Linked DNA regions of Mus musculus. The main gene of each other region encodes a partner of the protein of the gene in region 3 in a complex. Links are inferred from orthologs where the notes say so. Each region holds a gene or a part of one and is shown on either strand. Other genes may lie near its edges.

What was found. The genes of interacting proteins can lie anywhere in the genome.
Region 1: the proteins of Xiap (region 3) and Casp3 are in contact, whole or in part, in a crystal structure (PDB 1I3O), measured with the Homo sapiens proteins. The link is inferred for Mus musculus from reciprocal best matches to the Homo sapiens genes XIAP and CASP3. Residues at the interface, in NP_001158.2 of Homo sapiens: Ala137, Leu140, Leu141, Gly144, Gln145, Val146, Val147, Asp148, Ile149, Ser150, Asp151, Thr152, Ile153, Tyr154, Asn226, Leu231, Gly232, Arg233, Asn234; in NP_001341706.1 of Homo sapiens: Tyr204, Trp206, Arg207, Asn208, Ser209, Lys210, Asp211, Trp214, Gln217, Lys242, Thr245, Glu246, Phe247, Glu248, Ser249, Phe250, Phe252, Thr255, Phe256.
Region 2: the proteins of Xiap (region 3) and Tab1 are in contact, whole or in part, in a crystal structure (PDB 2POP), measured with the Homo sapiens proteins. The link is inferred for Mus musculus from reciprocal best matches to the Homo sapiens genes XIAP and TAB1. Residues at the interface, in NP_001158.2 of Homo sapiens: Phe33, Ala34, Ser38, Gly39, Pro41, Ser43, Ala44, Ser45, Thr46, Arg49, Tyr75, Ser78, Ala79, Val80, Gly81, Arg84, Phe92, Ile93, Gly95, Tyr97, Leu98; in NP_006107.1 of Homo sapiens: Glu99, Ala100, Arg103, Thr201, Gln202, Leu203, Glu212, Asp213, Phe216, Arg217, Gln220, Arg241, Glu269, Glu271, Ile272, His273, Ala275, Gln276, Pro277.

What each region holds. Positions count from the first base shown.
Region 1 is NC_000074.6:46,613,641-46,621,411, forward strand, and holds the start of Casp3 (caspase-3), read left to right. Parts: upstream 1-3,650; 5' UTR 3,651-3,861; intron 3,862-3,983; exon of another isoform or gene 3,984-4,138; intron 4,139-7,771. UniProt on the Homo sapiens protein: Thiol protease that acts as a major effector caspase involved in the execution phase of apoptosis. Following cleavage and activation by initiator caspases (CASP8, CASP9 and/or CASP10), mediates execution of apoptosis by catalyzing cleavage of many proteins.
Region 2 is NC_000081.6:80,129,383-80,137,266, reverse strand, and holds the start of Tab1 (TGF-beta-activated kinase 1 and MAP3K7-binding protein 1), read right to left. Parts: upstream 4,122-7,884; 5' UTR 4,112-4,121; coding exon 4,079-4,111; intron 2,640-4,078; exon of another isoform or gene 1-2,639. UniProt on the Homo sapiens protein: Key adapter protein that plays an essential role in JNK and NF-kappa-B activation and proinflammatory cytokines production in response to stimulation with TLRs and cytokines.
Region 3 is NC_000086.7:42,092,908-42,100,075, reverse strand, and holds part of Xiap (E3 ubiquitin-protein ligase XIAP), read right to left. Parts: intron 5,710-7,168; 5' UTR 5,705-5,709; coding exon of another isoform or gene 5,678-5,704; coding exon 4,804-5,677; intron 3,464-4,803; coding exon 3,364-3,463; intron 1,273-3,363; coding exon 1,194-1,272; intron 240-1,193; coding exon 197-239; intron 1-196.

The DNA of each region.
Region 1 (7,771 bases), on a different chromosome or scaffold from region 3:
AGGGGGTGGGTGGAGGATGCCCTTACACAGCTGCTCTGTAGTCACCAGTCACTCACACTGTGATAGCAACACTGTCCACTTGCCTGGATGCCACACTTGTAAAGCACACCCTTGGGAAGAGGAGGTGTTGGTCAGTGGTAACTTCAAAGGCAATTAGATGACGTGGACTCTGAGCTCCTCTTCATGGATCCCTTGATGGATTCATCCTATGGTGGTACTACCAAGAGACGGTGGAAGGTAGGAAGTGGGGCTCAGTCTGAGGCAGTACTGTTTTCTGGCTGCCACGATGTAAACTGCTGCTCCATCCTGTCCTCCCAAGCGAGATGGACTGACAACTTTAAAGCCCAAATAAATACTTCATGCATTAAGCTATTCTGCCAGGCACTCACTCTGTCACAATGAGAAGTCTGACTAATACAGGTGTAAAGGAATCCTGAGGCTTCCTTTAGCAGGGTTCCTGGTTTCTCACTTCCATTTGTTTATTTATTTACTTATTTATTTATTCATTCATTCATTCATTCATTCATTCATTTATGAGATAAGAGGTTTTTATGGTTGCCCAGGCTAGGTTTCTCACTTCCATTTATTTATTTATTCATTCATTCATTCATTCATTTATGAGATAAGAGGTTTTTATGGTTGCCCAGGCTAGCCTCAAGCTGCTTCAGCCTCTCAAGTGCTGGGATTTTAGGCATGTGCCACTACACATACCATAGTTTCTTATATAATTAGCAATTAACCGCTACTCCAACCTCTCCCTCAACCCTGAGATTAAATTCATCAGTATTGTGTTTACTGGAAATATCATAGTTCCATTTTTTGTGATGTTCTTTTATTTTAAAATCCTCAACAATATTTTGTGTGTATATACACATGTTTATGTGCCTGCGTTCACATGCATATGTTACACGTGCACTTTTGTGCATGAGTGTGCATGTGGGCCAAAAAAATGGTGGGTATCTTCCTCAATCCCTCTGTTTTTGTTTGTTGTTGTTGTTGTTTGTTTGAGACAGGGTTTCTCTGTGTAGCCCTGGCTGTCCTGGAACTCACTCTGTAGACCAGGCTGGCCTCGAATTCAGAAATCTGCCTGCCTCTGCCTCCCGAGTGCTGGGACTAAAGCCATGTGTCACCACACCCGGCTCCACCTTATTTCTTAACACGGGATCTTTCACTAACCCTGGAGCTCATCCATCGGGCTAGGCCAGCTGCCAGCAAGCTCCAGGGATCCCATGGTCTCTACCTTCCCATAACACCAGGTGTTTTACATGGGTGCTGGGGATGCAAGCTCAGGTTTTCATGGTTATCCAGACAGTACTTTACCAACTGAGCCATCTCCCAAGCTCTTAATATTATTATTATTATATTATCCCAACATCTTCTTAATATGCTATCATTTATGAACGCTTGTTATACTTTATTTATCTGCGTGTATTTGTGTAAATGTGGATTGTGTTCTTGAAAGTCAGAAGAGGGTGCTGGGTCCTCTAGAGCTAGAGTTACAAGTGGCATGAGCCACCTGAGTTGGAAGAGCAAGAGCTCTTTCTTAACTACCCAACCAATCCTTCACCACCTTTTAAATGCACTCTATAATCCCTCTATACAATATCTACGACTTAAGTATTCATCTTTAAGTAGTCATCTTAAAGTACGCTATTAAGGTTTACTTACAAACATATTACTATATAAGCTTACTTTCTAGAATGTGTAACAACTTAAGAAATTAAATATAAAAGACTGAATTTCTTCTGTCCCACTTATTTACTGCCTAGAATCAGAAGGTGTATTTTTTTTTAAGATTTATTTATTTATTTTATGTATGCAAGCATACTGTCCCTCTCTTCAGAGACACCAGAAGAGGACACTGGGTCCCTTTACAGATGGTTGTGAGCCACCATGTGGTTGCTGGGAATTGAACTCAGGACCTCTGGAAGAACAGTCAGTGTTCTTAACTGCTGAGCCATCTCTCCAGCCCCAGAAGTCATTTTTTAAATATCCCTAAAACTAGTAGGAGGGATAAGAAACCCTATAACAGTATACTGTTTCAGGTGTTGGTTCTTTTCCTCCTCCCTGGTCTCCCACCCCAAAGAGCAAAACTCTACCAGATAAATGACCTTCACACCATTTTTACAAATGATTAACTTATCATGTAATTGCTATAGTAATTTAGCTTATGAAGGCTAAGTCTTCTTGCAGATGTAGGCCCTAAAACGTTTACCTATTATACTTCTAGTTCAGTTTTCTCGCCAAATGGAAGAGAGTGACCACGCCCCGCTTTTAGATCACTTCAGAAAGCCATCTTACTCCAGCTCCTGGAAAGCAGTCACATTGCTTTTCATGAATTCTTTCTCTCTTGAGGCCCAGAACGGCTTCAGGTCCCTCTGGGTCCCCATTTACAGGGCGGCTTCAGGTCCCTCTGAGTCCCCACAGTGAGGAGAAATTACAGGGCTTAGATGAAAACTATCACCTCCAGATGTTTTGCTCTAACGAACTTCTCTAGATGAAGTCAACATTAACGGCAGGAAACTGCTGAGGATACCTTATCTAAGGTATCACTTTGTTAAGAACGTTTAGCACAGGGAGGGGTCCGGGCACAAGGGGTTTCTCAATTAGACCCTTCCTTGTGAACTACAGCCTCCACGATGCACTGCGAGGGTTGAATGCATCCTACTGCTAAAGTCCAACAGAAAATGGCTGATTCTAACTTACTTTGGGAGGGATAATGATAGATCAATTTGTTTCTGGAATCTACATTTAACCACTATGGCTCTTCATGAGAGCAAACCACTTATCTTTTTCTTTCTTTTTTTTTCCCCCCCAAGACAGGGTTTCTCTGTGTAGCCCTGGCTGTCCTGGAACTCACTCTGTAGACCAGGCTGGCCTCGAACTCAGAAATCTACCTGCCTCTGCCTCCCAAGTGCTGGGATTAAAGGCGTGCACCACCACTGCCCGTCCACTTATCCTTTTAAAGCCTTTGATGGAACTGGAAAAAATAAAAAATGTATTATGGAAATGCAAGAGCTTGAATTCCACACGCAACGAACGGTAGACATCTGTGTGGCTACGTGTACGTCAGTCCCTTACATCCAACGAAGCAAAGGCGGTGAAGGCAAGAGGCTGCTCTCTGGAGTACATTTGTCCTTAAGAATATTCTGGGCCCCTGAAATTCGATGCTGATCGCTGTGCTCGTGTTTTCGTATATTATGCAAAAACAAAACAAAACAAAACCCACTTCCCAGAGTCAGAGTCTGAATGAAATAGGACGTAAACCAGTCAGAGATTTCAGTAAGGTAGTCAGGACCTCTCACTGAGGGAGCAAGAGGTGGACGGAAGTGAAGAAAGGCCTCGGTGCAATTGAGAGGAAGTAGAATTACCGAGTGCGGGGCACAGCTCTATTTTCTCCTGCCAGAGTTCTGACTGGCAGAGGCGCCTCCCTAGACGCCCATCTTGGCGCCCCCGGAATCAGGCGTGGCCGAAAGACCTCTCTAAAATTTACCTCAAGTGGCGCAAGTCGGCCGGAGGCGGCAGCTGGCGGAGCCAGAGATGGCGGGAACCAGAGCTTGAAACCCGCGCGAGGGGGCGGAGCCGGAGGGGGCGGGGCCCTAGGCTTGCCCTGGGTGGGCGGGGCCTGCGCTACGAGACGGGGCTCAGTCGGGGCTGAAACCACCAATCGCGACTGGCGTGTGCGAGATGAGGTGTTGGGGGGTGTGTGAGGGGGGATGGGGCGGGGAGGTAGAGAAGGGGCGTGGCGTGGGGCGTGACCGGCGGTAGTCTGCTGTTGCTGCTGCTGCTGCTGCAGTTGCAGTGTTGGTGCTGGTGGGATCAAAGCGCAGTGTCCTGCGGCGGGGAGCTTGGAACGGTACGGTGAGTGTCTGCTGCTCTCGCGCCTTCGAAGGCCTGTGTTGTCCCCCGGAGCTGGCGCTCTTTTGGCGGGTCTGCAGCTCCTTGGAGGAGGCGGGGGAAACGGGCAATCTGGGCGGAGGATCCTTTGTGTTGCCTCCAGGCTTGCTCAGGCAAACACTGAAGGCAGAGAAGCTGGAAACAGCGCCGGGAGCGCGATCCCGAGCTGAGAACCCAGACCCGGGAGGCCAAACCGGTGTCCCTAAACCTGGGTGAGCCGGTGCGGTGTCCCTAAACCTGGGTGAGCCGGAGCGGGTTCAGACCCCTCGAGCATGGCACACGGGCCGCGCTGAGGCTTAAAGGCGGAGTCAGGGGGGTATCTGGAGATCGCCCGGGGTACAGAGCTTCAGGGGCGGGAGGGGGTGAGGCCATAGTGTGGGGGTGAACCTGGAAGCCGAGTGGCGGGAGGTGGCGGGATCCTGGATCTGCAGGCCGAGGTGTGGACTCGGTAGCAGAGGATGGATAGGGGAAGTTCTGCCCTGGGGCCTGGAAGCTAGGCTGATGCTGACCTTGTGGCGGCTCTAAGTGACCCAGCCTCCCTCTGTTACAAGAGCATTTGATCTCCACCTTTAGTTTTCTCCAGTGCACTGTGATTTTTGGTTCTTGCGGAGAGCTGATTTTAAGCATTACTCCTTGAATACTCCAGCTCATTCCTTTGTTGGTCAAAGTCACTGTAGGAGCTTGCATTGACATCTCTTGAGCCATGCTCGGTTACTGTCCCTTCTTCGCGCTTATTAATTAGTCTGTGAAGTTCGACTTGAACAGCAGGGTCTTTACCTCATTCTCCGTTGAGTCACCCAGGAAACGTCCTTCTCAGGCACCTCTTGTGGACCCAACTTCTTCCGCCGTTAGTCCCCGAGCCTTGTAGACCTACGAGTCTGACAGATTTGTACCTGGCCCCTCTTCGGAGTCTTGTGGACTTTCTACGTGTCTGCCAGACTTGTGCCCACCTCAGGGAACTGAAGCAGCCTCCTTGCAGGTCTCTGTCTCCCGCCCAAGACCCCTCTCCAGTGCTCTCTTTAAGACACGAACAAAAACAGTTTTCTAGATGTTCATGTTTACCCTGAAGGCTTAAGTGTAAAACCGTATCCTCTAAACCGGGTTAGCGAAGCCAAACCCTGGGTCTTGGCTGTCTCCCCCCGCCCCCCCCCCTTTTTAGCAGAATGAAGAAGCTCTCCAGGCAATATTGGATACTGTGTCCTTTTCGGGTTTTCTTTCCAGCCCTCTGAGTCCACTGGCTCACCTTTTCTCCCCCTGAGACATTAGCTTATGAACAGGAGCTGCTACGGAGGTTTCCCTTAGTTAGCAATTCCTAGCTGAATCTTCCCATTCCTCCCTTTGCGGCAGGCATTTCCTGAAAGCAGCCGTGTCATATCCTCTACTTTTGCTTGTTTATTGTTTGCCTACCGAACTGTGAGCAAACAACAGTAGGCTCGAACTTTAGCTTGGCTCCCTTCCTTACTGGCTTTTTTTTTTCCACAAGTGACTACTCAACCCATTGGGGTGGGTGGGAAATGTGGGGCCATCGTTACAGTAAGAGTATACACAATAGCAGAGGAGATGCTAAGCTGGGGGTTTGGCCAGCCTTTGGGAAGTTACTTTGGATATGTTAATGGTGGCCACAGGCAGGAGCCCTAAGTATGGAGTGTAGAACCCTGTGACAACCTGGTGTTGAAGCTTTAAAGAATGGCTTTGTTTTGCTGTCCAGTAGACTAAGGCTTTTGGAAAGTGAGAAGGTGTTTTTTTAGTGAGTGGAAGTTTATTGAAATGTAGCCATCGAACTGCTACAAAGTAACAAGTGAAATCCTGCACCTAATTAAATCAGGTTGCTTTTGTGGTCCTGCAGAAAGGTTCTGCCTCCTGCTGTTTTAAGTAGGAATTCTGTATCTTTATCTGATAGAAGCGGGTCCAGGGCCACTCTATGGTTTCAAACCTAGCAACACATTCACTTCATGCGCTTTCTAAAGTTACAACACAGTCTTTTCTTCAAACACATTGCATTAGTTCTGATCTTCGTGTTAGATAATATTAAAGTTCTACCCCAGTGATAGAGGTAGAATACGATGTGGAAATTCTTACATTCTTGAGTACTGTTTTATATATAGTCATTTAACAGATTAAAAAAAGTTTGGAGAGGAAAGGGTATTCCATCATCATCATCTGACTGTCTGAGGCCAGGAGCCCGGGGCCTACCAGCTTCTTCATAAATAAAGCATAATCTATATTGCTCAGAGGGTTGTGTAAAGATCAGATGAAATAGTATGTGTGACATTCTACATAATAGTCCTTGTTCTGGTCTCTTTGTTTTGGCCTTCAATATTACCTGGGGAGGGTCTTCATTCTGCTAAAGTACAATGAAATTATCTAGTAAGAACAGAACATGGACTGCTTAATGTCTACCTTGCTGCTGTTTTTAAATGCCAGTGAACATACATAACAGCTCTGGATAGGGGTAGAGTCTGCCTCTTCCACTACTTCATACGCTCAGGGTTTAATGAAACATCTTCATACAGTTGATAATCAGTAGATTACATAGTTATCTGTAATTTTTATAAAAGACATCAAGGATCTTCCACTCTATACTTTTATTTCAACAACAACAAATTGTTTTCAAACAGGTCAGTAATTCTTACACATCCCTAAGAGCGTATAGTTTTATCCTCTTCAGGGTTTCGCTTGGGAGAGGACAAGACAGACCCTTTGCAGATAGTAAGCATCACATTTTTTTCTAGCTTGTGGCACAATGTCAGGGCTTCATCAGGTGTCTGCCTCCCTGGTTGTGTGTCCCATTCCAGAAACAAGAAAACGAGATGACTTATTTGTTCCTATGAGACAATATGTTCTCCATATTTTCTTTTCCTTTCCACCTTTCTTTTCACTCTCACTATATTTTCAACATTAGAAGGTTGGCTTTATCAGGCTGAATGACAATAGCCAGGTCAATGAACCCCCAAAGGAACTGAGACCAGATGGGACAGATTTTAGAACAAAGAAAGCCAACCACTGATTATACTAAGAAATCTTTTCTTAACCAGATGATTGTGAAACAAGTGCTCTTTCTGTTTCATTTACTTAATATGAAAGTGCTCGCAGCCAGGCGGTGGTGGCACACGCCTTTAATCCCAGCACTTGGGAGGCAGAGGCAGGCGGATTTCTGAGTTTGAGGCCAGCCTGGTCTACAAAGTGAGTTCCAGGACAGCCAGGGCTACACAGAGAAACCCTGTCTCGGAACACCCCCCCCCCCAAAAAAAAAAAAGAAAGTGCTCCTGATTCTTTGTCCTCGCTGAGAGGTAGTAAATAGAATCCTGGTGTTTCTCAAATCATTCTGCCAGGCTACAGTGGCTTCATGTTCCTATCAATAAGAAGGTAGGTAGACACGTAGGAAATATTTTAACAAATGCTTAACCAGGTATTATACATTTATAAATAAACTACCTGGTGGGATGAGAAACATCATAATCATTATTACTGTTTTCTTCATTGCAATAACTGCAGTAAGTATTAACCTGTATTTGTGGTCTTTACCAACTGTAAATAGAATTGTGAGAGACTAGAAATTGAATCTGTATTGAAATGTATAGACTTTTCATCATCCCCCGAACAACACTACGTAAAAACAGGTATCATTAGTAATAAGTAGTAGGGATGCTTAGCTTATATGTAAATAATACACCATTTTATACAAAGGATTTGAACTTGAATTTGCTATCTGAGGAAGGTTCTAGAGACAGTCACCCACAAAATACTGAAGAACATCTGTGTATTTTATTTCAGTTTTGAATAATCAGCTTCTACCATACTGTATGTTTTAAATCTCATCTTAATCAGAGAACCTGGGCTTACAGATTTTTGTTCCATTGAAATTAACTTTAGT
Region 2 (7,884 bases), on a different chromosome or scaffold from region 3:
AGCATAGGCCGCAGCATGTGATCGCATAAATATCATTCCTCAGGACAAACTTCAGTCTAAACACGACTTCAGGGTGACAACATCCTTTGCTTGCTTAAAACTTGGGTTTTTTTTATATTTTGGGGGATATCATCTTACTGTGTTGCCAAGGTTGGCCACAGATGCCTGGACTCAAGTCTAATTCAGCCTCCTGAGGAGCAGGGATTACAGTCATAGTAACAAACCAAATGGATTTTGCTTTTGTTTGAGACAAAGTTTCTCTGTGTAGTTCTATCTGTTCTGGTTTTTACTCTGTAGAACAGGCTGGCCTTGAACTCTCAAAGATCTGCCTGATTCATTAACTATTATTAAATTACACAGAGTCTGTACTTGCTGTTTAGCATCTGTCAGGGCGTGTCGTCGTCATCCCCCACCACCACCCCTGCTCCAGCACAGTGCCTACCACAGGAGGAACACTCAAGGGTCACTGCAAGGCACTGGCTCACTCACAGCAGCACTGAAGACAGAAGTCTGCTGTTGAGGTGTAGAGGGCAACAGGTCCCTGTGCACACTGATAAGCATGAGGGAAACCAGGAATATTGAACACACAGGGTTGTCTCTTCAACAGAAGGCTGCATACCTGCTGTTGCCAGAGAGCTGGGGATGGATACTGTTCACGGCCTGGTGACCTGTGCAGACTGTAGGGCCAGACCACAGCTGCATTCCCCATACTACTGTGTTCATCCCAGACTCCTCCCTAGACCTTCATCCTGAGCACTATTTCTCAGTCACTAGAACTCATCCTTAAGGATTTTGCAAGAGTTTCGAGGCAGCCCCGCCTTAAGCATTACTGTGATAACTGTCACGGAGAGCTTCTTTCCAAAGCTCTACTGTGCTTACACATGGCTAAAGTAAACTGCTCTGAATCGGCTTCTAGAAGTTTGACCCCACACCAGCTACCGATTCCTGTTGAACCAGATCTCCTCCTCGCCTCATGTGGACACTCAGATCCTTACTCTGTGGTAAGGATCTCCTGGTATTCGCAGAGCCCCCACAGCTGACTGTTACCATCTAGAATTGGAAACACTGTGGCAGTCCATTTATAGTATCGGTTCTCCTGGGAGGCCTTCTGGACCGGGGAAACTATGGGTAAATCTCTGTGAGACTCACAGGCTTTTTTCAGGCTGCTATGGCTGGGGTCTTCTAAACCTGCGGGTGAAGACCTTTTTGGAGGTCACAGGAGTTCTATATCAGATATCCTACATGTTAGATAGCTACATTATGATTCATAACAAGTAGCAAAATTAGTTATAAAGTAGCAATGAGATAATTTTGTGGTTGGGAGTCACAACATGAAGAACTGTTTTAAAGAGTTACATTAAGAAGGCTGAGAACCACCATTCTAAGATTTTCTTTAAAACCACTTTTCTTAGCTGAATGTAGTGGTGTATGCTGCCCCAGCATTCGGAAACAGATCTCCAAGTTCAAGGCCATATAGTGAGCTGGAGGTCAGCCACTGATACATAGTGAGACTTTGTCTCAAGACAATCAAACAAACTCAGCACTAGAGAGATGACTTAGTAGCCTGGAACATTGACTTTTGTTCCAGGAGACCCAAGTTCAGTTGTCAGAACCTTACGACTGGAACCTCCTTCTGCCCTCCACAGGCACCAGGCATGTACCCAGAACACTTACATGCAGGCAAAATGGAATTTTAAAAAATTAAAATTAAAAACAAACCAACTACCCAGGAAGCCCTCAAATCCAAAATCCCCAAAACCAAACCCTTTTAAAGCACACTGACTAGAGATAATAGGTAAAAATCCCTCAGAAGGCCTTTTCTTCCAGAAACTCTACCAAACTGCCCAAGGATGATGCCCCTTCAAGACCCACATGAGCCCATTACCAGCCTATCCCACAACTGTTCACTACCTGTCAACACACTATTTCTATCTGACACATGGATTTTCAGACCCCTCACATACAAATTTAGTTAAATACATTGTATTCCCCTTGGGTGTCCCTCCTGTCTTGTAAAAAACTGAATTTAAAAAAAAAAAAAAAAAAACCTAAAAAGGAAAGGCCATGACTGCTCCTACGTGTGGGTATGGTAGAGGAGAAAAGTTCTTACTGTAGGAAAATGGGAGAGCAGAGGCAGAGACATCTAAGAGAGTCCAGAGTCGAACCCTAAGCCATGGGGGAGAGGGAGGGAAGGGAAGGGGAAAGCAAGGGAATGGGGTACAGCAGCCAAAAAGACAAAGGTACAAAAGAGGTGGGTCACCAAAATTGTTCAGTTCTATAGGAAGAGCAGCCCGAGGGATGCTGGGAGAGCCTGACAACCAGGCTCACTTTGATGTGTTGAGACCTCAGCTATTTTTCTGGGTTTGAGACTTAACACCCCTGAATCCCCTGCAGTTCTCTGCGGCCTGTCCAGGGTTCCCTATGGAAGTCCACGCTGACTATGCCTTAGCCACGGTGCTGGGGCTCACGCTCCTCTTCCCCTGCTGCCCTTTCATCTTCCCAAGAGGCCCAGACTAGCAGCTTTCAAGGTCATTTGCAGAACACAGATATTGGAGCTGCTCTCACCAGACACAGGACGAAGGACAGGTCAGCAAGCCCTGCACCCTGCCCGGCTGGGACACCGGGATTCCTCTCAGTAGGTATGTCCTTTCATCCTGAGGATGGAAGGGGCCTTACACAGTTATCTTTTCCTGTTCCTTCCCTAGCATCAAGACACTACGGGTTAAAGCCGGCCCTCCCTCCCCCTTTTTAAAGTCCGCCAGCATACACAGAGAACACATTCTCTGTGTGCTGGGAAAAGCCTACACTCTGCCCTAACTGGTGTTCTTTGGGTCCCATCACAAGGAAGAGACAGAAGATACTTGACCCAGTCGACCTTTCTCTTGTTAGCAAGCCAACTCAGTCGGCATCAGTCACTATTTTTTTCCCAGCCCCTCTTTCTCTCAAGGTCACAATCATATCAGTGTTCCCCAGACGCTTTCTACAATGGGGACATTTATACAAGGGCCTTGCCCTCTGGGACCTTACAAAACAGAGAGCCAGACCTCTTTACTCCCAGGGTTTTACAAAAGGCCCGAGCAGGCACACAATAGTGAAGGGAAAGCCATCTCTCTCTTCCCCCACGTCTCCCTCTGGCTTCAGATCCTCTAGGCCAGGCAAGCTACTTCCCCCCACCCTTGAAAAGCCAAGACCTAGTTCCTGACCAATTTCCTCATTCTGTGACAGACACTGACCAAGCACCTAGCATGCAAGGGTGGTAGGGTGGTGAAGTCAACATGCTAAGAGGCGCTGGTCTTCAAGGAAGCAGACATCCAGAGGCAACTCCTACAGAGTGCCACGGTAAGGAAGGCCAAGGGATCCCCGCCCTGTCCTGGCAGATCCAAACAGTACTCTGAGCTAACATACATACATGTGTAACTGCACATATGTGAGAAAGATGCAGGGACGGGTAGACTACATCAAACCGTGGAGGTCCAGATGACCAGGTCGGGGTGCCTGGAGCCAACCTTCAACGGGACCCGGTGAACTGGGAGGCAGAAGTAAAACCCTACGCCCTCACTTGAGGAGCCTAAACCTTAGGGGTGTTTCTGGAACCAGACTATTTTAATCCTGCCTCTGCCTCTGCCGCTCACCAGCTGCCTGACCTCGGTTTCCTCGTCTGTAAAAACTTTTAGTCGCTAACTATTCTCCGGTGCTGCTGGCGAAGCTTATAAACGCGAGGCGGTCCACACAATGCCAGAGATACAGCACGCCTTACACAAGCGGGGGGCTATTTATTATTAGTCGTGTCCACGCTCCGGATGGCCCGCTCGGCGGCGCCACGTCCCCTTCCGGCTCGAGGACGCTCCCACTCCGCAGGACCCCGGCGCCCTTGACCCCCTAGAGGCCCCAGCCTGCGACGCGCACGCGCAGAACAGGCGCGGCGCCAGCCGGCTGTGGGTCTCGCGCGCTGCAAGCCCCCAAAGGCCTCTGGGGCGAGAGGGCCATGCTCTGCCATCTAAAGACAACAGTTCCTGCACCCGAGGACACACCCGAGCTCCCAACCCTCCCAGCCCGGAGAGCGGGTCGGTTTCCTCACACTCTGGAGCAGGCTCCTCCTCTGCGCCGCCATCTTGGAGGACCCCGCGGCGCGCCAGGCTCTCGGAGTGGCGGGATGAGGGGCTAGAGCGGCTCGGGCTGCCGCGGAGCTTATCCACAGCGCCCCCGGCGGAGCGGAGGAGGCGCAGCAGAGGCGCCTTGAGCAAGCGCGGCTCTTGCCCCCACCCCACCCCCAACCCCATCAGCCTACTTTCTTCGACTTTCTTGTTTCCTGGGGTCTTTATGGGTGTGCTTTCTCCCGGATTTTTTTTTCACCCCGATGGAGATCCTGAGATCCTATTTAAAGCGGCTTAGCGAGGAGGGAGCAAGAGAGAACGAATGATTCAGTTTACAAGAGTAGTGGGTGACTGACTGCCTGATCTTATAATGGAGGCCACCCCAATGCCAAACTAGCTGAAGTTAGATTTGGAGAAGACTGCAATTCCGAGTAGTTGTAAATTCTCAGAAGTTAAATTTATGGACGGTAACATGGGAGTGTAGTGTTAGCTGGCAATGTAATTGCAGGCCACTTGGCGTGACTGGCCAGTGCCCAAAGGAAGAGTCTGTTTGTTCTAGAAGCACGGTGCGGAAGCTCGATTTGGAGAGTCACAACTGTAATCCCAGAGTTTAGGAGACTGAGGCAGGGGGATTATAAATTTGAGTCCTGTAATCCCATCCCTTAAGAAGAGACAGGAGGAGCCGAGCGTGGTGACACACGCCTTTAATCCCAGCACTTGGGAGGCAGAGGCAGGCGGATTTCTGGTCTACAGAGTGAGTTCCAGGACAGCCAGGGCTATACAGAGAAACCCTGTCTTGAAAAAAAAAAACAAAAACAACAACAAGAAGAGACAGGAGGACCAGAAGTTTGATACCAGCATGGACTACTATATGACACCCTGTTTCATTAAATGAATAAATAATCCAGTATCAATTTTTTTAAAAGATTTGTGTATTTATGTATGAGTACACTATAACTGTCTTCACACACCAGATCCCATAGGTCCCATTAGAAACGGTTGTGAGGCACCATGTGGCTGTTGGGATTTGAACTCGGGACTTCTGGAAGAGCAGTCAGTGCTCTTAGCCGATGAGCCATCTCTCCAGCCCCCCAGTATCAAGCATTTTATTAAAGCAACAGGAAATGGCCTAAGACAGTGCTGATGGGCCAGTGTGGTGGCACATGCCTTTAATCCCAGCACTTAGGAGTCAGAGGCAGGCGAATTTCTGAGTTCGGGGCTAGCCTGGTCTACAGAGTGAATTCCAGGACAGCCAGGGCAACACAGAGAAACCCTGTCTCGAGAAAACAACAACAATAAAAAGACAGTGCTGATGGGAAGAAGTGTGTCAAAGATCCCTGCAGATTTTTTTTTGCAGGCTCAGGTAGGTTTATGGAGCAAGAGAAAGGTGTGAGTTCCACGTTAGCATGCTGAGTTTGGTGTGGTTCTGAGATGAGACGTTGTCAAGTCAGTAGGGGGGCTAGAGCTCAGAACACAAGCTGAGCATGCAAAGACATCACAGATGGAGCAGCTGAAGGGGCGGGATGGGGGGAGTGGACAGGGTCCAAGGGAGACGGTGCAAGGACACGAGCAACAGCGGGAGGCCTTTTGGAAAGATTTGATTGGCACATAACTGGATTCTATTTAGAGGCTCTGAGCTGAGGCTCTTCAGGTGGAAGACATATCCCTCATGGGGTGTGTGAGCAGAAGACAGGTTGGGAGGAGACACAGACACCTGAAGAGTAGAGGTTCTACAGAGGAATAGAAGACTGAAAGGGATCACAGGATTGGACGGTTTTTGTTTTCTTTCTTTTTGTTTCGATTTTATTTTGTTTTTTGAGACAGTGTTTCTCTGTGGAGCCCTGGCTGTCTTGGAACTCACTCTGTAGACCAGGCTGGCTTCTAATTGAGAGATCCACCTGCCTCTGCCTATCCAGTGCTGGGATTAAAAGTGTGCACTACTACACTCAGCTTTTCTGTTCGCTAGTTTGTTTTGATCCTGGGTTTTCTTACAGTTTAGCAAATGCTTGCGACATCAAATTGGTTTAAGGTCCCAGCAGAAGGGAATCAGTATGTTGGCAAATGAGGAAACTGAGGTATGCCAGTCTCATGGACCCCATGTGACTAAGTAGGGAGTGGGACTAAGCTTGGGGCTCACTAGCTCCCCTCAACTTTCTCTTCACATCTCTAAAATGGGTCCTCTTTTCCCCCAGGACAAACAGATGTGTCACCCTGGGGTTGTTTTTGATCAGTTCAAGAAGCACTTCTGCTGCAACTGTTGGTCCTGATAATCATCTAAACTGCCTGCGCTGGCTCAGGGCCTTATCACGAGTGTCCAGACGGGCAAGGCAGCCTTCGCTTCCATACATTTTCTGGAACATCCAATGACTGCACCATGACCTCCCTAACCCCAATCGCATACAAAGCAGGAAGACTTGCAGCAAGTCTGGCCCCTGAGAGCTGAGGTGGGTTTGGCAGGAAGGCTTGGCAGCCCCTCAGGTCAGAAGTCTACACCTAGGGCCTCTGTGCTCCTGAACCCGTTGGCCACCCTCAGATTCCAGTCAATCCCTGACCTGATATTTGCTGCTACTGCAGCCAACGCTGCGGGCACCTGTTGCCTTGAGCAGATGATATTGGGACCCTAAAGAACAGTGAGAAAAAAATAAAAATAAAAACTTGCCATCTCCACTCCAATCCTCATCTTCCCCTTGGATTTCCTTTTTTGTTTGTTTGTTTTGTTTTGTTTTGTTTTGTTTTGTTTTGTTTTCGAGACAGGGTTTCTCTGTGTAGCCCTGGCTGTCCTGGAACTCACTTTGTAGACCAGGCTGGCCTCGAACTCAGAAATCTGCCTCCCGAGTGCTGGGATTAAAGGCGTGGGCCACCACGCCCGGCTCACCTTGGATTTCTTCATTTTGTCTAGGACCCCAAGCAGGTATGGTAGCCTTGCTGCCCAGCAAGAGGCAAGTGACACTGGATAGATTATCTTCCCTTTCTATAATCTCTCCATTGCAGGATTCTGCCAGGTGGCTGTGTGGTCTCAGGATTGGCCATTTTATATGTTTATTTATTTTGGCTTTTTGAGACAGGGTTTCTCTGTGCACCCTTGACTATCTTGGAATTCTCTCTGTAGACCAGGCTAGCCTCAAACTCACAGAGATCCACCCACCTCTCCCTGAGATTAAAGGCATGCACCACCACGGCCCAGCTAGTGCTGACCATCTTCATAGAAACATCTATTTTATTACTGGAGGGCTAGCAAACTTGCTTCCAGTACTCTAACCAGCCTCAGGAAGTGGAAACTTAAGGGTTCTTTGGGAAGTCCTTTGAATGGTGTTTTGCTGGGGCAAACGTGTGAAGGAACGTTTAGCTGAAGCAGACACAGGAGAAAGGATGTTCTGCTAAAGCAAGGACATGAAAGGACACGTGATGAAGGATTCTTCGCTAAGCTCACACTTACATCAAGTAGTTGGGCTGCACTTGTTGGGACTCCATAGAGAGAAACACACTAAAAACCCTTCTGGTGGTGTGCTGCAGTTTCTTGCCACTTCTTCAGATTCCAGCTGATTGGCAGAGTGATGTCAGCTGAGACAGATGCTTGTGCTAAGGCAAGACCCATGGAGGGCACATGATGTCTGGAGGATATAAATAGGACTCAACGGACAGTGATGGAGGCTGAGCTTGGCTTGCTTATAGAGCTAGCTGTGCAGTGCTTTTTGGTCTCCTGTCTTCACTGATCTTCTCTTCCCTGAAAAAGGCACAGCCAAGAACTTCTGGCCTTCCTGTTGGTCCTGGTCCCTCCTGCTGACTTGTG
Region 3 (7,168 bases):
GCTTTAACATTGTGAGTGCTAGGATTAGATTTCCACCACAGCACCTGGCTTTCTATTAATGTTCTCACTACAAAACTATCTGGAATAAAATTATAAGCACTTCATTAAATTCTTAAATTTATAGCAGCCTCATTAAACATACTATAATAAATTGGCCACAAAACTAAACAGATTTATTTTTAATAGGCATATTTACCGATTTTTTTAGTTAGCGATGGTGTTTTTTCAGCAGTTCTTCCCTAAAATAGAAATATGAATGGTAAGAATTCACTTTAGCAGAAAGCAATTATCTCAATTTGAAAAGTTAATAAACTTAAAACAAATTGGCTTTATTCTAATTTAAAAACCCTGACTATTCATAAGAGCATAACCTAACGGAATGGAAGGAAGGTAAGACTATCTATCTACTCATCACCCCTTTATAAACAAGAAGCTGAGGGCCAAAGAGATCCAACGATCCCCTGGAGAACAAACCAATACAAATGCAGCTAAAAGCTAAGGGTAGAACCGTCATGTCCACTCTAGACTCCCACTGCAGTCCAAAGTTCTTCTCAGTATACTAATGCTCTGACGGCCACTGTTCTGTGTCAATTCAGACACAGTTGTTCATCTTGATTGAACCCAGGGGCTTGTTTATGCTAGCCAGAAAAGGTAAAACCCACGTATATCTCTGTCCTTATTTTTGCAATCTGAAGTATTATCTGCTAAAAGGTTACTAAAGACACACACACACACACACACACACACACACACACACCATAGGAAGACTAACAGTCAATGAACTTGGACCATTGGAGTCTCCTAGAGACTGAATCACCAGCCAAAGAGCAAGCATGGGCTGGACCTACACATGCCCCCTGCACATATATAGTAGATGTACAGCTTGGTCTATGTGGGTCCCCCAACAACTGAAGTGGGGGGGGCTGTTCCTAAACCTATTGCCTGCCTGTGGATCCTGTTCCTCCAACTGAGCCTCCTTGTCTGGCCTCAGCAGGAGAGGATGTACCTAATGCTGCAGTGACTTGATATGGCAGGGTGGGATGGGGAGAGAATGAGGGAAGAAGTTGTGTAAGGGAGAAACTGGGAAATGGGGAGTGGATATTGGGATGTAAAGTGAATAAATAAATTAATGAAAACAAAAGAAAAACAAATAATATAGAATTTGAAAATATATTGCACAATAAGCTACTCACCAAAGATTCCTCAAGTGAATGGGTTAAATGAATATTATTTATATATTCTTGCCCCTTCTCATCCAATAGGTATTTGCACCTAAAAGATTAAAGAAAATTAAATTAAACTCTACTAGCTGATAAATTAGTGAAGTACTAGTAAAGGCAGTCTCCAGCATTCAATTCCATTAACTATCTTGGGGCCAGAGAGAAGGCACTTTCTGACAAGTTCAATCTCAGGAGCTCACAGAGGAGAACAAACCCCTCCAGGCTGTACAGACCGCCAACTGTGCATTATGCGATGTACATCCCCCACCCATGCAATGGACAAACAAGTAAAACCAACCTTTTCATTCTTGTCTTTTTTGTATGTTACTGGGGATTAAACTAAGAGCCATGAGCACACTAAGCAGGCACTCCATCACTTAACTATAACATCAGTTCCCATTAGAGGCCATTCTGAAGCTGGCCTCAAATTTGCTATGTAGCCAAACATGACCTTGGACTTCTAAACCTCCTGCCTACATATCCCAAATGCTAGGATTATAAGCAGGAATAACCATAAATCACCCCAGTCTTTTAAAAACAGCTTTTTATTTGTGATAGGGTCTTTCTAAGAAGTCCAAGGCTGGCCTTGAATGTGTAGCCTAGACAGGCCCTGAAATTCCCATTCTCCTATCTCAGCAGACTCCTAAGCAGCTGATGTTAAATGCCTCAGCTTCATTCACTGTTTCTGAGGAGCCACAAAGTACTGCTATACAACTCCTTATCCAGCTATAATTTCAAGACTATTACTCATGCTAATAATGTCAATTTGAGAACTTCCAATTTATAAGTAAGAGTTACTGAATTAGGAGCCAAGTATGGTGACATCTGACTATAATCTCAGCACTTGGGAGGCTGAGACAGGAAAACTGATATGAAAACCTGGCTACTCTGCTATAGTCTGTGCCAAAAAAGAAAATGAAAAAACAGTCAAAAAAGCTATTAGCCAGGCATGGTGGCAAAACCTGAATTATCCGCACTTAGAAGATTAACCAAGAACAGAAGTTTAGTGCCATCTTTGGCTACATAGTGAATTCTTGCCAACCTGAGGTACAAGAGATACTATCCCAAAAAAGACAAGACACCTCTATAATACTCGAGAGGCAGAAGCTGGAGGGCTGCCACGAGTTTGAAGGCCAGCCCCATCTACATAGGAATTTGCAGGCTAGTTAAGGCTACATAACAAGACCGTATCTCAAACAAACAAAACTAAAACCAGGCAAAAGAAGCTATTAAATCAGTACCCTAACACTGAGTTAGTACTATTTATTTATTTGGTTTTTCTGATATAGGGTTTCTCTGTATAGCCTTGGCTGTCCTGGAACTCCACAGACTAGGCTGGCCTCAAACTCAAAAGAGATCCACCTGCTTCTGCCTCCTGAGTGCTGGGATTAAAGCCATTTGTCACCAACACCACCAGGCCATACTGACAATTTTTTTTAAAGGTTCAAAATGGTTAATCTTTTAAAACCAGTACTGAAAACTTAAAAACCTTAGTTTTTATTTTCTCATTTATCTTGAATGTTGTTTTAAAAAGATTCTTTTCAAATGATTGTTCTAATGTTTGAAGTTGCATTATTTTATATATTAGAAGCTCACATAACTTATACACCTGAGTATTTTTGAGGCAAGATGACAAAGAGTCTGAGACAAGAGGGTTTCGAGATGGAGGCCAGCCTGGAAGGCATGGGCAATTTCAGGTCTACCTGAGCTAATATGAGACCTTGCCTCGAATTAAAAAACAAACAAACAATACTATACATTATGACCATTCTTCGGGACTTCTCATGGCACTATGGGCTCATGCCAATCTCCAAAGAGCCTACTTCTAAATAAAAAGTATGTATTTTTGTATACTAAATAAAAGAATATACATTTTAATAATTTGGTTTTAGAAATGGAATCATCTAAGTATCATATGACATATAAACAGTGAATGTTTTGGTTACCTAAAGTCTTAGGTGTTTTTTTTTTTTTTTTTTTTTTTTTTGCCTACAAAGTAGGTGACCCCATTTCTGTAAACTTGGTGTGAATTTCAAGCCATAGTGAAGGCAAAAATAGTTGAGGTGAAAACTAATTCAAATATTTCCACTGCACAATGTCCAACTTTTCTGTTACTGAATGAACAATTAAGGATCTTACTTACCCTGGGTACCACTTCGCATGCTGTTCCCAAGGGTCTTCACTTGGCTTCCAATCCGTGAGCCCTCCTCCACAGTGAAAGCACTTCACTTTATCGCCTTCACCTAACAAAACATGCAAGGAAAACTGTGCCTTTCTGTGCAAGTCTAAGTTTTCAGAAAATGCCCGTTTTAACATCTAAGTTACATAAAACCTCATGCTTTAAAAGACAACATTCACATTCCATCTAGATATGATCTTTGTCATTTGAAGGAAAATACATACTAAGTTCATCATCTCAATATAATGTGCTTAGTAGACTACAATGAAAATAAAATCACAGTATTTCTGTTAGAAACTATAATTGTTACATTCTTCCTAGTGTATGTCAGTTGGACCACCACTATTAAACTTTAGTTCATCAAACTGAAATCTGTTTAAGTTATATTCCAAATGTTAACAATAATACACTTCGGCATAAATTATTTACAAGCATAAATCTTTAAGGACAGAGCTCTCTGACATGAAACAGATCTTTATGATTACTAATGTTATGGGCTGGAGAGATGGCTCAGAGGTTAAGAGCACTAACTGCTTTTCCAGAGGTCCTGAGTTCAAGTCCCAGCAACCACATGGTGGCTCACAACCACCTGTAATTGGATCCAATGTTCTCTTCTGGTGTGTCTGAAGAGTGCAACAGTATACTCATATCCAGTAAATAAACAAATAAATAAATAAATCCAAAAAAAGATCACTATGTTATATAAGTGAAATAATTTATATTTGAATTTGGCATTATTTTCCTAAAATAAATGAGTCAGGCATGCAGATTAAAATAGTCCTAGAAGCCATAACACTGGCAGCTTTTCTTGGAACATGCATAGGCATTGTTTGAAAAGTACTCTGAAACAGTTCAGGCAGCTTCCAAAGATGTGGTGTACACTTTAAAGGCAGACGTTAATTTTTATTTGGTTGGCTTTTTGAGAGATGGCATCACGATGTAGCCCAAACTGCCCTCAAACTCATGCTCATTATTCTACCTCGGCTGCTAAGATTGCTGGAATTTCAGGTATGTGGCACCATGCTAAGCTTGATGTCGATTTACCAAGAATCAACCAAATTCTCTAAGGTTAACTATTTCTATGGAATTGTGGTGAAGCTTAGAGAAAATCCATGTAGTAAATATTTTGAGCATACAGAGTAGACATTTAATAAATGGCAGACGGTATTTATTACTAATAGATCCACTATCTGTCAGAAATTGATACTATCTTTTCTCTCAACTCTAACCTCCCCCAGCCAAGAATTACTTGAACACAGATCTGACTCATAAAAGTATAGCCTTTTAACATAAATTCAGTAGTTACATTAAAGATGTAACATGAATCCAGAGAATGAGCAAACTAAAGACTAAAAGAGCAGGAGCTCTGTGACATTTGGAAAGTAATTGTCTGGTGAAGTTTACCTAAAGCATAAAATCCAGCTCTTGCAAGCTGCTCCTTGTTAACTGAGGATGTCCATGTTCCAAAAGTAACGATCCGTGCTTCATATTCTGCCATGGCTGGATTTCTTGGAGAGTTTGTTGAATTTGGGAAATTCCTATCAGAACTCACACCAGATTCACTTCGAACATTAACGTTCCGGCCCAAAACAAAAAAGCAATTGGGAAAGTGTCTCCTGTGTTCTGACCAGGCACGATCACAGGGTTCCCAATTTTTCAGTTTTCCCCCACAACAAAAGCATTGCACTTGATCATCAGCCCCTGTGTAGTAGAGGCCAGCACTAGCTAACTCTCTGGGGGTTAAATGAGCATAGTCCGGCCAGTTCTGAAATGACTTCAATCTGGCTTCTTCACTACACATGGCAGGGTTCCTCGGGTATATGGTGTCTGAAATATCTACAACCTGTCCAGTTCTCAAGAGATAATCAGCATGAGTCTCAGGTGGCCTGTCAGGGGCAAAAGGATTTCTATTTCCCACACAGTTTTCAGATTTGTACTGGCCATTTTGGATACCAGGATTTGTAGACTGTGCAGCACCATTTTCAAAATAAAAACCATTGATAAATCTGCAATTTGGGGATATTCTCCTGTGTCTTCCAACAGCTGAGTCTCCATACTGCCATCTATCTATTGCCGCATGACAACTGAAACATTGCACGGTGTCTCCTTCACCGGTATAAAGAAACCCAGCTCGCGCCAATGTTGATGCTGAAACAGGACTACTACTTGGGAAGTTAGCAAATGTTTTTAATCTATTAAACTCTTCTACAAATTCTTCATCCTTATTGGTGTCTGCAAGTACAAAAGTTCTAGTTCCTTCAAAACTGTTAAAAGTCATCTTCTCTGGAAAATAGGACTTGTCCACCTTTTCTAGAAAGAGAACATTGCATTAGGAACTTCAAAACACAAAGCATAAGGACTATTTCTGATACTAAGCACTAATATATTATCCAGTGATGACATAAAAATAATGGCACAATAACTAAGACACATTTTAATTCTAAACAGTAGAGTCGTACATTACCAAACCACTTGAGTTTTAAAGTCTGCGCTTTTGTTTGTTCTCCTTTTTTAGTGTTTGGGCTTCACATAATGCCAAACACATGCTCTAACAGACCTACACCCCCAGCCTGTTTCTCTCTCACTTAAATAAGTACTAGGGATCCATCATAGGGCCTTTTGCATTTTAGGAAAGTGCTCTAGCAACGAGCCTCAACCTCAGTCCCATTTTGTCTTTTGATGGAAAATAGTATATAAACAAACAGAGCAGAATTACTGATCTTAAGTATTCATTTTATATAAATATGGAAACTATGACAGAAAAATTATAAATATTAAACATGTGAAGTCATTAATTAGGAAAAACATGAAAGCAGCATAAAATATGCAGATTATTAAAGACTATGCATAATTGTTATAATGAATCATTACATATTCAAGGCAAAGTTCAATTTTTACTATTTAAAAACAGATGAATGTTTAGAATGTTAATGCATCAATTTAAAAAATATTTTTACTTCCCTGCTTAGCAAAACAAAGGTGCTCTAGTAGATGCCATGCTCAAGAGTATATAGGAAGCACAAATGAAACTTGATGCATTAAGAAAAAGACACACACACAAAGTTAGGTGGGTGGATCTGGGAGAAGCTGGGAAGGTAGGTACTATGATCAAAATGCAATGTACAAAATTCTCAAAGGACTAAAAAAATTATTAAACAAAAAGGTAAGTATTCACAGTATTGGTTTCAGCATGATAAGGATATCAAATGTTTCTCATTTTCATGTGTTGAGTCTTCTTTTGATGGAAGTGGACCATTCCTTATTTTATGTGTGTATACATTATACATACAACACATAGAGGCAAGAAACATAGACACAAACACACCTTACACATCCAAAACTGCCAGGCAGAGAATGCCTTAAGAAACATTCTAAATATTTACAGATATTAAGTGAAATTACTTTTGCTATCAACTTCTGTTGGTCAAGGAACAATCTGTTTGAAAGAAAGAGAATTTAGCAGCCTCATTAGAGCTGCCAAATTACAACTGTGTAATGTTTAACCCAAATAACATATCAAAAGGAGTCAGCTGTGTTCTGGGAAGAGTGGCAAGATAGTTTGTCCTCCTCCAACAGGTCTGAAAGTGCAAAATGACGCTGCTAATAAATGTCCAAAACAGCAGCATAAATCATGGTCGCCTTAGGCAAAGCAGAGGAGCGTGTGGTCACCCTAGCTACAGAAAACACTGCTTCTCCACAATCTTCCACATTGCCATAATGTCCTTAGGATGTTTGCTAAATGCAAAATAAGCAAATGGCTAAAACTCAA